Coturnix japonica: one gene and its partner. The protein of the gene in region 1 interacts with the protein of each later gene in a biochemical or structural test. Links are inferred from orthologs where the notes say so. Each region holds a gene or a part of one and is shown on either strand. Other genes may lie near its edges.

The links. The genes of interacting proteins can lie anywhere in the genome.
Region 2: the proteins of MAP3K2 (region 1) and SMYD3 are reported together in a solved structure, tested with the Homo sapiens proteins (2 studies listed by BioGRID and IntAct, with this or other methods). The link is inferred for Coturnix japonica from reciprocal best matches to the Homo sapiens genes MAP3K2 and SMYD3.

Annotation. Positions count from the first base shown.
Region 1 is NC_029522.1:23,180,691-23,187,507, reverse strand, and holds part of MAP3K2 (mitogen-activated protein kinase kinase kinase 2), read left to right. Parts: coding exon 1-80; intron 81-605; coding exon 606-673; intron 674-1,917; coding exon 1,918-2,013; intron 2,014-2,925; coding exon 2,926-3,132; intron 3,133-3,797; coding exon 3,798-3,946; intron 3,947-4,171; coding exon 4,172-4,303; intron 4,304-4,697; coding exon 4,698-4,827; intron 4,828-5,813; coding exon 5,814-5,991; intron 5,992-6,570; coding exon 6,571-6,796; 3' UTR 6,797-6,817. UniProt on the Homo sapiens protein: Component of a protein kinase signal transduction cascade. Regulates the JNK and ERK5 pathways by phosphorylating and activating MAP2K5 and MAP2K7. Plays a role in caveolae kiss-and-run dynamics.
Region 2 is NC_029518.1:30,805,560-30,812,376, forward strand, and holds part of SMYD3 (histone-lysine N-methyltransferase SMYD3), read left to right. Parts: intron 1-3,680; coding exon 3,681-3,748; intron 3,749-5,254; coding exon 5,255-5,357; intron 5,358-6,817. UniProt on the Homo sapiens protein: Histone methyltransferase. Specifically methylates 'Lys-4' of histone H3, inducing di- and tri-methylation, but not monomethylation. Also methylates 'Lys-5' of histone H4.

The DNA.
Region 1 (6,817 bases):
ATGCTGGATCCACTCTCATTGAGCAGTCCTGAAAATTCTGGCTCAGGAAGCTGTCCCTCACTTGACAGCCCTTTAGATGGGTAAGAACTGCTTGCATTCATTAGTCATCTTTATTAGATTGCTTAACATGTTAATTAGTGCGACCAAAAAATTCTACATCATTCTTTAACTCATTAAAATGACTAACTTAATCCTATGGCTTTTGTGGAGAAAAGAGGAAATATTTGGAGGCATTAAATTCTGCACTTGTTTGGCTGAATTAGAGGGATTTTATAGGTTGCATAAGAGATTTTTTGTTTATCAACTGTGTGTTCAGCCATCAAGGTGTTAAACTTCACAGTGTTCCTTTGTGGCTTCATTGGTGCGAATGGCACAGCCTGCTGCTGTCTTACCACACTGAAGCCAAAGAGCAAGGATTTCCATTGTTACTGATCCTGAATGATTATTGTCACCTAATAGACTTGATGTTGAGATCAAGTTCCACATTTGCGAGCAGCAGCTTTATACAGTATAAAGCTTCCATCATCCATAAAGCATTGTAACACAGTGGGATCGTTTTGTTACGGTAGTTGCCATTTTAAAATACTTTGCTTTCACGTTTCTAGAGACAACTATCCCAAATCTCGGATGCCGAGAGCACAGAGCTATCCAGATAATCATCAGGAATTCTCAGGTAGGCAAAATTGGCTGGCCGTAATAGCTTTCCCAAGTACTTTCTCTTGCAAGTCATAGAACTTGAAAGGGAAGCTCATACTAAGAGGTGTTACCTTACACAAGCTTGTAATGGTAGTAGAAGACATAGCACCAAGGTGCAATCCAAATAGATACAGCGAAAGATGCAATTAGGTGTATCTTGTAAAGGTTTTCTTCAAGTTAATGTGTGTAACACCAGTGCTGTTGTGTTTAGTAAAACATACCTCTGATGCTAGAGGAAAAAAAACAAAGGCAAATAATGCATGGCCTAATGGCACACAGGTTGGTTAAAGTGAACTGCAGTGTCCATCTTTAAATGAGTACATAATCCTTCATTAATTTACTTCATGTTTCAGCTGCTGTTTCATCCTTTATGGAAAGAGAATCATTTTTAAGTGCTCATAACTGCTGTAACTGAAAGCATTCCAAAGTGCGAGCATGAAGGAGAGCAGTTTGCTGTGCCTATAAATTAATGAGTCATCACCACTAACATTGCTTTCATACCACACTCTGGCTTGAATCCAAATTGCTGTGCACGATTCAGGACACCAAGTGCAATGGGTGACCTTGAAAGTTTTTTCAGGTATCCTTATGGACGTGCTTCAATAGAACGTATTTATAAAATAATTTTGTCACCTCGCTATTTGTTGCTCTGTCTGCAGAGTTCATGTGCAGTTAAACTGCATGGGTTGTAGCCCAGATTCCTGTGGAACTACTCACCACTGCTGCCATCTTATATGCTCATTTTCTAACCAATTATTTATTCAGGAAGGAGTTTCCCCTTAAATATCAATACTTAATAAATCAGAAAGGAGAACTTATTGGCTGTGTTTTAGTAATTGAGGATGTGTTGACTCATTTATCAGCGTTCTGTATTTGCTCATTTTTCAGTTTTAGACTAAACTGAGGTTCTGTCACTTTTCCTGTTGAGCTGTTGTTTTCTAGTAGGTCTCTACTAACGCCTCTAGTAACAAGGCACGCTGCCATCCTCTGGTGCTGTTTTAAGCAGGAGATGGCAAACAATTTTTGTTAGATGATTGAAATCCTTCAGAGCTTTGAGTTAGATTTGTTGGTTTTGTGTGCATTTTGTTCTGTAATATTCTTTGCTCTGCAGTATTCTGTTTTCTGTTTTCTTCCCCATGTTTAAATGTACAATAGCAGAATGATTGACATGGAAGCCTTGGTTGTGTTTTTAACTGTGAAATGTTTCTCTGTATTTTCTAGTAGAGTACGATATCCCAATATTTGAGAAGTTTGGCAAGGGGGGAACTTATCCCCGAAGGTACCATATTTCATATCATCAACAAGATTACAACGACGGTAAGTGTGAATGCTGTAGGAGTCCTACATAATTAACTTGCTTTTCTCCTCTTCACAGCTAAAGAAGAAAATCTACCTGGTGAAATCTTAACGGTGCATGTACAACAAGTAACAAGTTACTCCTTTGTAACAGAGTTGAAAAATAAGTGCTGCCTGTTTGTAAAATTCAGTCTCACAAATATCTGTTTTGTTTCTCCTCAACTTTCTTCTATCAAACCTTGATACATTCCTTAAAATTTTTTTCAAGCATTTGTGCAAGGCCCTTATTTTTAGTTCTCTTCAGTCTCATGGCAGCCAAAACTTCATGAGCTGGATTGAGGAAACGTCCTCGTGAAATGGGTACATTGGATTAGCTATGTGTCAAATCAATTTTGGCTGCTTTATCACATAATCTTCTCAGTGATTTTATAACACTGCTCAATAATTTGTTCATGTATTTATCGCAGCACTGAAATTGGCCTGACTAGTGTGTAAATATGAGTCCACTCCTTCAAGACATTTCACTTGCCTTCTTCAGTCCTCTGGGAGCTCCATCTCTGGTGTAATACTTAATGACTCAGATATTCCTTTGGCAATTTATGCCGAAGCTCCCCGGGATGAAAATTCACCAAGTTGTGCTGACCTAAAAGTGTTTGTTATCTAAATATATTGATGTTATTCTAAGCATCTGGATGTAATTTACCTTTTTGAATATCAGTGTCCTTTTTTATTCCAATGCTGTCTCCATCGCTGAGTCATGCAGTGTTGATGATGTTTGTTTTGTGGTTTTCCTGTTGATTCCAAGGGTAGATCTTTATCTACTCAATTTTTTTTTTCTTACTTATTTTCTTTTAAAAATGAATATACCAACCTGGGCATCACTGAGATGTCAACTTGTAGTGTAACACTGGTATTCTCTGTGTAACACTGAAGGTCGTAAAACTTTTCCGAGGGCCAGGAGGACGCAGGGGAACAGCTTCCGGTCACCTGTTAGTTTCAGTCCCACTGATCACTCACTGAGCACCAGTAGTGGGAGCAGCGTCTTCACACCAGAGTATGAGGATAACAGAATGAGGAGGAGGGGGAGTGACATTGACAATCCTACCTTGACTGTCATGGACATCAGCCCACCCAGTCGCTGTAAGTTAAGGAACATTGTGACCTCTGCTGTAAAACTCTTACCTTTCAATGTGTCATGTCAAAACTAAGCATGTCATCCAAAGAAATGTGATCGAACTGTATGTTGTTCTCTCCCTAATAGGAAAAAGTCAAGAGTTCATGCTCTGTATTTTTTTCTTTGCTTGCTGTGCCAATCTGCATTTAGATTTTTGCATGGAATAAACATCTATGATAATAAATCACTATAGAAGTATTTTCAACATGTTAACCTTTGGAGGACATGAGAAGGCTTATGTAGGTTGGAGTAACTTGTTGGCCTTTGTTGGTATTGTATGACCGTGGAGGAGCAAATACACCTTGTGATGATTGCAGTAGTCAGCAGGTTTTGATTAGGCCTCCATTTTTAAAACAGTGTGACTAAGTTTGCTCAACGTGCTTTGTCTGTTTTGCAGCTTAGCTGTTACCAGCTGCATAAGTACGTGCATCTTTACTAGAAATTCATTATTTTGTAATAAACTTCCCATCTTACAGAAAGTTTTATCCATGTTTGTAAATTACATAGAGAAGTGTGATCTTCCATTGAAAAAGGTGGCCCTTGAAAAAGTTGTTTTCTATGCGTTGTTTTTTCCTTTAATCAGCTGAACAACAAGCTGACATTAAAACAGAAATCTTGTTTACCTTTTCAGCACCACGAGCTCCAACTAATTGGAGACTTGGCAAACTGCTGGGTCAGGGTGCATTTGGCAGAGTGTATCTGTGTTACGATGCTGATACCGGAAGAGAACTGGCTGTTAAACAAGTACAGTTTGATCCTGATAGTCCAGAAACCAGCAAGGTATGAGGTACAGTGCGAACGTGCTGCGACATAAGTTGAACTGTTCCTTCTTTGTTTTAATACACGTTTCCATGTTGTCATTAGGAATCCTGTTTTATTAATAATTGAAAAGAACTAATTTGGGAACCTGATTCCAGTGTCACACCACATTTTAAAATTATTGGGCAAATCCTCATTCAACGAATGTGTTTGATTTTGTTGTTGTTTTTTGCTTGTTTGGTTTAGGAAGTAAATGCTCTTGAATGTGAGATTCAGTTGCTGAAAAATCTGCTGCACGAGAGGATCGTTCAGTACTACGGCTTCTTGAGGGACCCACCGGAGAGAACACTCTCTATATTCATGGAATATATGCCAGGGGTAAGCGAGAAAACCCATCCACTCATCATTTCTATGTAGTGTGATAGGCACTCAAGTAGGCAGCTTTTACAGAAGGGCACACAGATATTAAGGAAATCCTGAATTAAAACAAAGCAATAGCTGGGTACCAACAGGTTTTTGTAGCAGTCCCTCCATGTCTCCTCCTTCATTTGCTTTTTCAGGATTGTTGTGGTTTGTGCAAAATGTCCTTCTGTGTCCTTTTCCTGTACAACACACTGTTGCTGTTTAGCTACTCGATAGTTTTAGAGTTAACGGCTTAACATTGTAGTGCGTGACTTCTCTGTTCAGCCTCTTATGTAAATGCTTTGTTTCTTTTTTTTAAGGGACACAAAACTACATCTACATTACAGTGTTCTGTGCTTGTTTGCCATAGGGTTCCATCAAAGACCAGTTAAAATCGTATGGAGCACTCACAGAGAATGTGACTCGCAAATACACGCGGCAGATTTTAGAAGGAGTTCTCTATTTGCACACAAACATGATTGTCCATCGGGACATTAAAGGTAAGGAGGGCAGTCCTGGGCACAGTTGGGTGCTGTTTACTTCAGATTCTTTTCCAGTCTTGTCAGCCAGGTGTGAATTGCTAAAACTTTGTTAAGTTTGAGATACCAAAATGCTGACTTTGATGGAAAGCCATAATGATTCTTCTACTTCTTGTTGCTGTTGTAAACTCAGGGTGTTCTAACAGACTTCTGAAAAGGTTTCCCTAGAGTCTGTCTGCAAAGCATTCATAATAAAATCTCCTTCTGAATTTAAGTAGCTTTGAATACACCAGGAGATCATTACAAGCGGTTGAAATATACAGAGGAAAGCATCAAGACATGAAACTATTAGTTGTCACTGAGTTTTGTTTCTATCAGCTACACAGAAACTGCAGCTTTTCACTATTCCAGAAATGCCTGGCAGAGGTGACTCCCCCGACCTCAGTGAGTCACACTGCTTGCACTCTTCTGCCAGGAAATCGATGTACTTCTTGCTGATAGATACAGAGGTCGTGTAAGAGCTGCAAAAGCAAGTTACAAATATGTAGGAAGATGGTGGTGATGTGCAAAATAGGTGTGTAGAACAGCCTTTGTATCCTCCAAAACTCTTAGGGATTTCCTTTTGCTTTATATGAGCAATGTATTTCCTCCCCCAGAATGGGGAAAGGTGATGTTTTTGTTATGCAGGTAAGTATTGTAAGCAAGTCTACAACACAGTCTGAGATTTTGCTTTAGTACCATATTGAGGCCTTTTCTGTAGTGTGAAAAGAGAAATTCCTATTTCAGGTTGCTGCCCTCACATGGCGTGTTTCTTTATCAGCAGGGTTTTACAAAGTAACTGAAGCTTTCTGGGGAAGGCCTAGGATGCAAAAGGCAGATAACAGTTCATTTTACTCAACCTCCAAACAGAGGAATGAGCAGAGAAATTCTCTGGGAGCACCAGAACTGAATCTGAAGCTTTTTTTAATGCTGCTTTCTACACCAAAGCTGCATTCTTTTCCTTCCAGGAGCAAATATTCTGCGAGATTCAGCGGGCAATGTGAAGCTGGGTGACTTTGGTGCCAGCAAACGACTGCAGACCATCTGTATGTCTGGGACTGGGATGAAGTCCGTCACAGGAACTCCATACTGGATGAGTCCAGAAGTTATCAGTGGAGAAGGGTACGGCAGGAAAGCAGATATCTGGTATGTTACAAAACTTCTCTAACAAAACTCATGATTTCAGAACGGGTGGTTTCTCAGCAGAATGTGAGTGTTTGTCACCTGAAGTTGGAGTGTTTTATTCTGAGGTTTAAGCTGAAGAGATAACACGTGAGAGCACTGGCAATCCTATTTACGCATTTGGAGAGTGTAACACTGAAATGTTGGATCTGTTGCTTTGGCATTTCATGAGCCCATTGGTTTAGTGATCACAAGAGAATTCTTTGAAGCAACATTGCATGAAGGGCTGTGTCAGCCTGCTGAGCACTGAGATGTCAATCAGGATAGTGGCCATCACACAATCAATAGTGCCGAGATAAATACCTCCTGAGTTCTTCGCTGAGGTACCAGCTTTTGGCCCAGTGAGGCAATGCATTGGAGATGCACGGGTAGTGATTTGCTTAACGCAGTGACAGTGAAGAGCTGCTTTCCATCAAAGCTGCATTGTAGAGATAAGTGGACGCTGCTTCTTGTGGTACTTCAGAATCTACTTGATATTGCTTGTGTTCCTAGAAGAGCGCAACTCTGTTGTAACCTGCTGTCTCACTTTTGCCTCTGTTTCAGGAGCGTAGGTTGTACAGTGGTAGAAATGCTCACTGAGAAGCCCCCGTGGGCAGAATTTGAAGCAATGGCTGCCATCTTTAAGATTGCCACTCAGCCAACCAATCCCCAGTTACCACCTCATGTCTCAGACCATGCTCGGGATTTCCTGAAAAGGATTTTTATCGAGGCCAAGCTGCGACCATTTGCAGATGAACTGCTAAGACACACGTTTGCACACTATCACTAACAGCCTGCCTCAACTCAGCTT
Region 2 (6,817 bases), on another chromosome or scaffold:
CTGGGCTACCTTACTGAGTACAGAATGCCTCTCTAAAACACGTACAGTCTCTTAAAAGAGCAAGTTCTTTTATTTAAATCCATCAGTGTATGTAATATTGTTTGTTGTTTGACATAGCAGTTCCTTTTAAATAAACTTGCAAGATTTATTGCCACAGTGCAAACTCAAGCACTGAGGACTGATAGTTTAAATTGTCAGTGAATTCTATGGCCAATCAGTCTACGATGTGAAGTCTTGAGAACTATAGGAGAGTCCTAAAAAAACACGTTGCCCTGTGGAGACTCAAAAAGTCTGTGAATCTTCTGTGAGAATTTTTCCTCAGTTCTCATACTGGGAAATGTGTTATTTCAGAAAATTTAGAAGTGACAGAGGAATTTGACTATTCAGCTTTGAAGTTCTGAAGTATGTGAACATTTTTCCTTATTTGTGGGTATGACAAACTCTGAATACTCTGTTCTGTCTCTATATGTGAATATGCAGTTATAGGGCTATGGCACTGGACAGAAAAGAATGTTTAGAGGAATCAGAAGGGACAGGTTGAACTGAAACATAAATTAAATAACCAAGATAAATGATGCTGCAGGAGTTAAGATGACAAAGGCTACGTGTCTGTAGGGAAGAAACCATATCCTCAAGCAGCAACTTACCCTGAGTTGTTTATTCTTCCTTATTTTAAAATCTGGGTTCACAAAGAATCACAACCTTGAAGATCGTTTTACTGGGAGTACGATGCATCTGTTAAGACAGAAATAAGGCTATACAGGATGATTATGAAACCTGACAGAAATACACATGAGAAAGGCATTGCTTGTTTGATTTTATTCTTCTTGGGGTTTTTATTTGTTTTTGTTCTTTTTTTCTTGGATGTGGAGTCAGTTGACTTTTAGGTACAGCAGGTTTTGATCAATAACTGATTTCTTCATCTTATTTTGGAATAGGCAGTGTCCAGTGTGCTCTTCTCAGCAATGTTGGAAACTGCAGTTCATCTGTCTGAGCAACACTGAATCCCAAGAATCTAGAAAATGGATTTTTCTTCAGGATTTGTGTAACAGAAATTCCTCTTACTCTTGTTTCAAGCAAGGCATGGCCTACAACCTTAACTCCTCTGTTGAACTGTAACCACAGCAGTCCCCTTGTCAGGGTTCATCTGTAACTTTGGGAGATAAGAAACCTCTTAAAAGTGTATGTGAACAGAAATATAGGGGATATTCAGAAGATTCTTAGGAACTTCGCAACAAATCAAAAAGGAAACAAACAACTGAACCCTCTGTTGATGGACTTTGACAGATTTCATTTATCTATTGCCAGTTGCAAACTGTCAGTGGAGACTAACATATATCAGAATTTCAAATGCCATAGGTGATATTATTTCTCACTACTGTCTCATGTTCTCTCTCTCCGCTTGCAGACAGAAAGCAACCACAACAAAGGGCAGCATCTGTATTGCATTTTGCATGGGCATCACTGTCTAATTTTCTTCCATACTTGAATTTAACAGCGGGGAAAGATTGTCTGCTAGGAGGCTAATCTGGTCAGACTATGAGCAAAATGATGTAGCCTAAAATTCATAGGAGCAGTTAGACTTCTGTCTGTGTTGAGGTACCTACATGCCTTTCTAAATGTGACTCTGAATGCTTCTGATTCCCAGTTTCATATTGGAAACTGCAAATAATTTGAAATTAGATGGTATTCCACTACTTCATTAGGATATTGGGATGCAACTGCATACCATGAAAACATCTAAAACAGGGAGGTTAATAAGTGCCTCACAGAGAGCTGCTGTTGAAAGACAGTCTTGATATCTGAATCTCAGAGCATCCGTTCATTTCATGTTTTTCTTTAAGTATGCCCTATAAAAAGCAAAAAGTGAAAATGTTGTGATTTCTGTGTGTGAAACTTTTTCACATGGTAGAATATGTACCTTTACTAGAAAATAATGGAATTGTCTCTATAACTCTACAGTGATCAAAATTCCATATTGTTAAATATAAACAGTTTTATGGTAATAGTAGGAGATTTGCAAGGAAGGGGGATTCATTTACTTCTAAGAAATGTCTGACCTCTGCTACTTCATAATCCACTAGAGAGAGCTAAGGTCCACATAAGCTGGCTTTCTTTCTCTTTTACCTGGAAGGCATTATTTTTTCAATAAATACCAAAATCAAGTCAATATTTTTAGAGCTAGTTTAATTGCCACTTGAAATAGTCTAATCTTTGCTCTGAAGTTGTCTGATACTTTGTATCCAATGCCAGTTGGACAAAAATAATTAAGATGTATGTATTTGATAATTTAAGAGGAACATTTGAATGGGTTATATAAATAATAGACTAATCATAGAGTTGTCTAACCATTTAAAATAACATAAACCCTACTGCATATACTTTTATTTGAATTAATGTTGCTGTCAGAATTTATGAGAGATTTTTGAAAAAGGATTTCATTCTCACCTTATGGTTAATGCTCTCATAAATAATAATTTGTCAATTCTGTAAGACAATATGTACTATTAAGTTGTTCAGTGCACCTCTTTGCAATAGAGGTGCAAATTTAATATTCTGTGTAATTGCTCAGAATAAAACTGCAACTTTCCAGTCTCATTTTCAGAACTGCCAAATCATACTCTAACTCTCTAACTTTTTTTTTTTTTTTTTTTTTTTTTTTTTTTTTTGATTTTTTTTTTTTTTTTTTTTTTTCCTAAAGAGAATAAATGGCATTTAATGTTATGTAGAACAGACCTGGGACTTTTCTTTTATATGCAGTCTTTTTCTGCATAAAGTATTGTGTGAGTACGTCATTGATAACTGACCAACAAACAGTAAAAATACAAACAACGTTAAAAGAAACAAACAAACAAAAAAATTCATGTTTTGCCCCCAAAACCAATCTGATATATTAAAGGTCTATTAGGAGTTGTATTCTAAGTTGAACACGATGACTCCTGTTTGTTATTTTGCAGTTTGACTCTATCTCCTTGCACAGAACTTTTATTCTTTTCTACTCCTGTGTAAAGCTACTTTAAGTTTGTATGAGTGAGAGGGAAGATACATATCTAGTGGAATATTTGAGATGAAAGTTTATATTTATCTTTAATTACAGTTTGAAATTTGTTTTATGTGATCTTGTATATACAAACCAAAATATCCAGAGAGCAAACAATGGGGAACTGTACCGTCTTTGTATGTATTTGTGCCTGTATCACATTGGCGACAGTCAAGGCTGCTCTCTACTTTAAAACTGACACAGCTATATTTGTTGGGCTCCAGTAGCACTCATTAAAATGTCTGTGACAGCCTGGCATCAGTAGAATATTGACATGGAAGCAGCCACTTCTTTTCATCTGCTGTCACTGTCACCTGCTCTGTAGTCTTCAGGCTGAGCTTCTCAGACTCTGTGTAGGGTATTTTTTTTCTCCCTCTGGACAGGAAAGTAGGGCCTCTGCATGTGTTTAACCCCACATTTTTGCAGGATACTATTATTTCTGCTTTAATTGACGGCAGTTTTACAGGAGAGTGTGTCCCAGATGTGATTACTCCTAAATGAAAGAGCACCAGTGTTGGACTTGAATGTTTCCCATCCAATTACCAGCTGCCCCTTCATTTTATTTTGGAAGATTTTTCACTTGAGTGTGGGGTTTCCAAATGAGTCTGGTAATCCTGGATTTTTTCCGTTGTTTTTACAGGTGACCTGTAACTGTTTCACCATCAGTAATGGAGAGATGCAGGATGTTGGTGTTGGCCTATATCCCAGGTACCATGGACACTGTTTCATTCACAGGCAAAATCTATGTTAGGTTTTTCTTTTTTCCCTCTTTTCCGAGGTAGCTATAAGCACCATCAAAGCAGGTAACATGTTTAAACAAGAAACTGGCAAATGCAAATAAATTAGAAGAGAATAGAAAGCAGTCATCAAATTGAAAGCATTCTTAGAAGGTTCTGATTACACAGTTAAATAGGATGTGTCTTCATACCTTATTTTTATGGAGATTGTAGTCATTTTTAAGTAACAATAAATGCTAACATTATAAACATGTTACTAAGGCTTCCTAAATAATTGAAAGGAAATATGTTCTGTGCTGCTTTGAAGGATACATATTTTGCAACCAAGAGCCTTCTAAATTGGCAATTAAAAGAAAAAGATTGAATGTGTTTATTAGTTAATTACCATACCTAAGAAAGTAAGGCAAAAAGGTAAACCCCTTGAAAAATGGGTATTCAGATTCTTGTTTGTATTAGTTAATAAATATGTAACAGGTAAGGCTTTGCCTTCATAGAATTCTGTTACTGTAACTATCAGTGGTGAACATGAATAACTGAACATTTTACCTTACTATATTAATTTATTTGTGTGAATCTAGGGTTGATTTGTATTGTCAGAATCTAAAGGGGCCTGTTGCTATTGTTTCTTTCTCTACTAATGTCATATGTGCAAGATTTGACTAACGGCACGATCTTGAGGCCTGCTTCGTGATAAAAATAGGAGAAGAACTGCTATGAGGACAGAGAAATTAATGTTATGAAAAGCACAGGACAGTCATCTGATTTCAGAGGGAAATGGAAACAAATCTTTTCATATACTTTGGGGAAAATGAACCTTATTTTGGAGCATTATTATTAGTTAAAAGCTTTCTAAAAAGCTTCTGCCTGGTAAGGAAGTTGCAGTGTTCTTTAATGGTGCCTTGCAAAAGGGTGCTAAAGTTTTTTTTTTCCAGTTTAATTCAGAGCAGATGTAATTTTGCTGTTTCAAATCACTATGAGTTGGGAAAATTGTGAATTTAAGTCCGCATCCTCCACACGTGTGCCCCGGTGGCGCAGTGGTAGCAATGCCGCCTTGCAACACCAGGGCCCGGGGTTCGAATCCCCCGTGTGGCGCAAGTGGTAGAAGTGCCGCTCTGCAGCACATAGGCTCGAATCCCGGGAGTTGGACTCGATGATCTCTAAGGTCCCTTCCAACCCGCACGAGACTATTACTTATTACTTATTACTTATAGTTCCCAAATCCTTGGCAAGTGCCCTTCCATCCAGAGTTTAAGGAAGGCAGATTCAGACATGGCTTCTGTTTGAAGATAGACATTGGTAAACAATAACTTTTCTCCCCTAACCAAGAGCAGCTCATCTACCAGGGATTTTATTTATTGATAACTTAATTGCTTGATATTTAAGATGTAATATAGTTAGCTACTTCCAAATTATGTCCACAGTAATGACAGTATATTAAAGTTTTTTTTTCTTTCTCTCCCTTTACCACCTCTCACAGCATGTCTTTGCTGAATCACAGCTGTGACCCAAACTGTGTGATCGTTTTTGAAGGATACCAGCTTTTACTTCGCTCCGTCCGAGAGATCCAGATTGGCGAAGAGGTAATTAACTTGTCCTCTCTTCCATCACAGACACCTGCAACAATGACATCTCCCTAAATAAATTCCAGACTGCAGGGCCACCAGCTTAATATTTTGATGATATATTGGTGCCAATTTTTAGCACGTAGCTATCAGGGAGAAAATGATTAATAGAATCATCTCTTCACACTGCCTGGGCCCCATAATCATTACTTCCCATAAATCACTAGCAGTCTTGATAAATTCTTGTTTCTCCTTTCCTCCTCTAGGCACTTCATTTTGTTTGTGTTTGAATGTCTTTACCCTGATGGAAACACTTAGAATATTTGAGTGGAATGTAGTGTTCACCAAATCGTTGCAACAATAAGCATTTGTCAGGCTGCAGCTATGCTATAGTAGTAAACCTGTAATTGGCAGCAAAAGTAGCAATGCCAGGTTTGTTTTCTTGACATTTCAGTGGGAAAAACTTCAAAATACTTCTCACAAGAGATTTCAGATTCCAAATTATTCACAGCTTTGTTTTTAAGACAGCATTTGTTTTTATTTTGAAAGCAATTCATTTGTGGCTAAATAAGAATTTAGATGTAAATGTTTGTCAGAGAAACGCAGTGCAGAATTTGTTTAGTAAAGCCTGCGAAGAGGAAATATATAAGTAAATTGCTATGTAACAATGACCTATGCAGTTCTAGCCCTTAGTTATTTTATAATCATGACCTCTAGTAAATACGGTTTGCATCAGTGCTTTGATGACTAGGAAGTTCAAGGACTTACATATTATAATTGGGGAGCAGTATCTCTTCCTCCCTATAAATAGTTGTTGATCTTTTTGTTTTAATCCATCCGTTCTCTATGATCAAAATATGTAAATGGTGAAATTTATGTTTAGGCAAAATACTGTAGAGAGCTAACACCAAGCTTTTGCTTGCTTACTTTTTCTGATGAGAAATTTTATAGGATGCAATATATTTTCACGGAGCCGGTGAGTGTAGCCATTACTTTGTCTGGCAATCTTGTTCAAGCCAAGTTATATGTACTTATAAACACTATTCATTTATCTTGACTTACTGATTCACAAAGATGGGTTATGTATTTAAAAATACAAACAGGCTGTAGTGTCTCCCCAGGGTGTTAGTATGTTAGTATATGTTAGTATATTTGTGCCTCAGTCATACTTTAGAGGATTGATGCTATACACAATAATTATACTGATCACCACTGAGAAAATGGATGCAAGAACCTAAAAAAAAAAAATAAATTCCTGATGGAAGTTGTTCCATTTCTTTTTTGGTCTTGTGTCTGGACAGATGTTGGCCTTGTATGTTTTTCACATGAGGACAGGTATCATTTAATGGGTTTTAATTTAATTTTTGTGCGGCATTCGAATTTATTCAGGGTCAAAAAATAGGCAGTAGGAAGTTAGGACTCATAAGGCAGAAGAAAATTTTGTCTTGAATCCCTATAAAATAAAGGTGCTAAATATG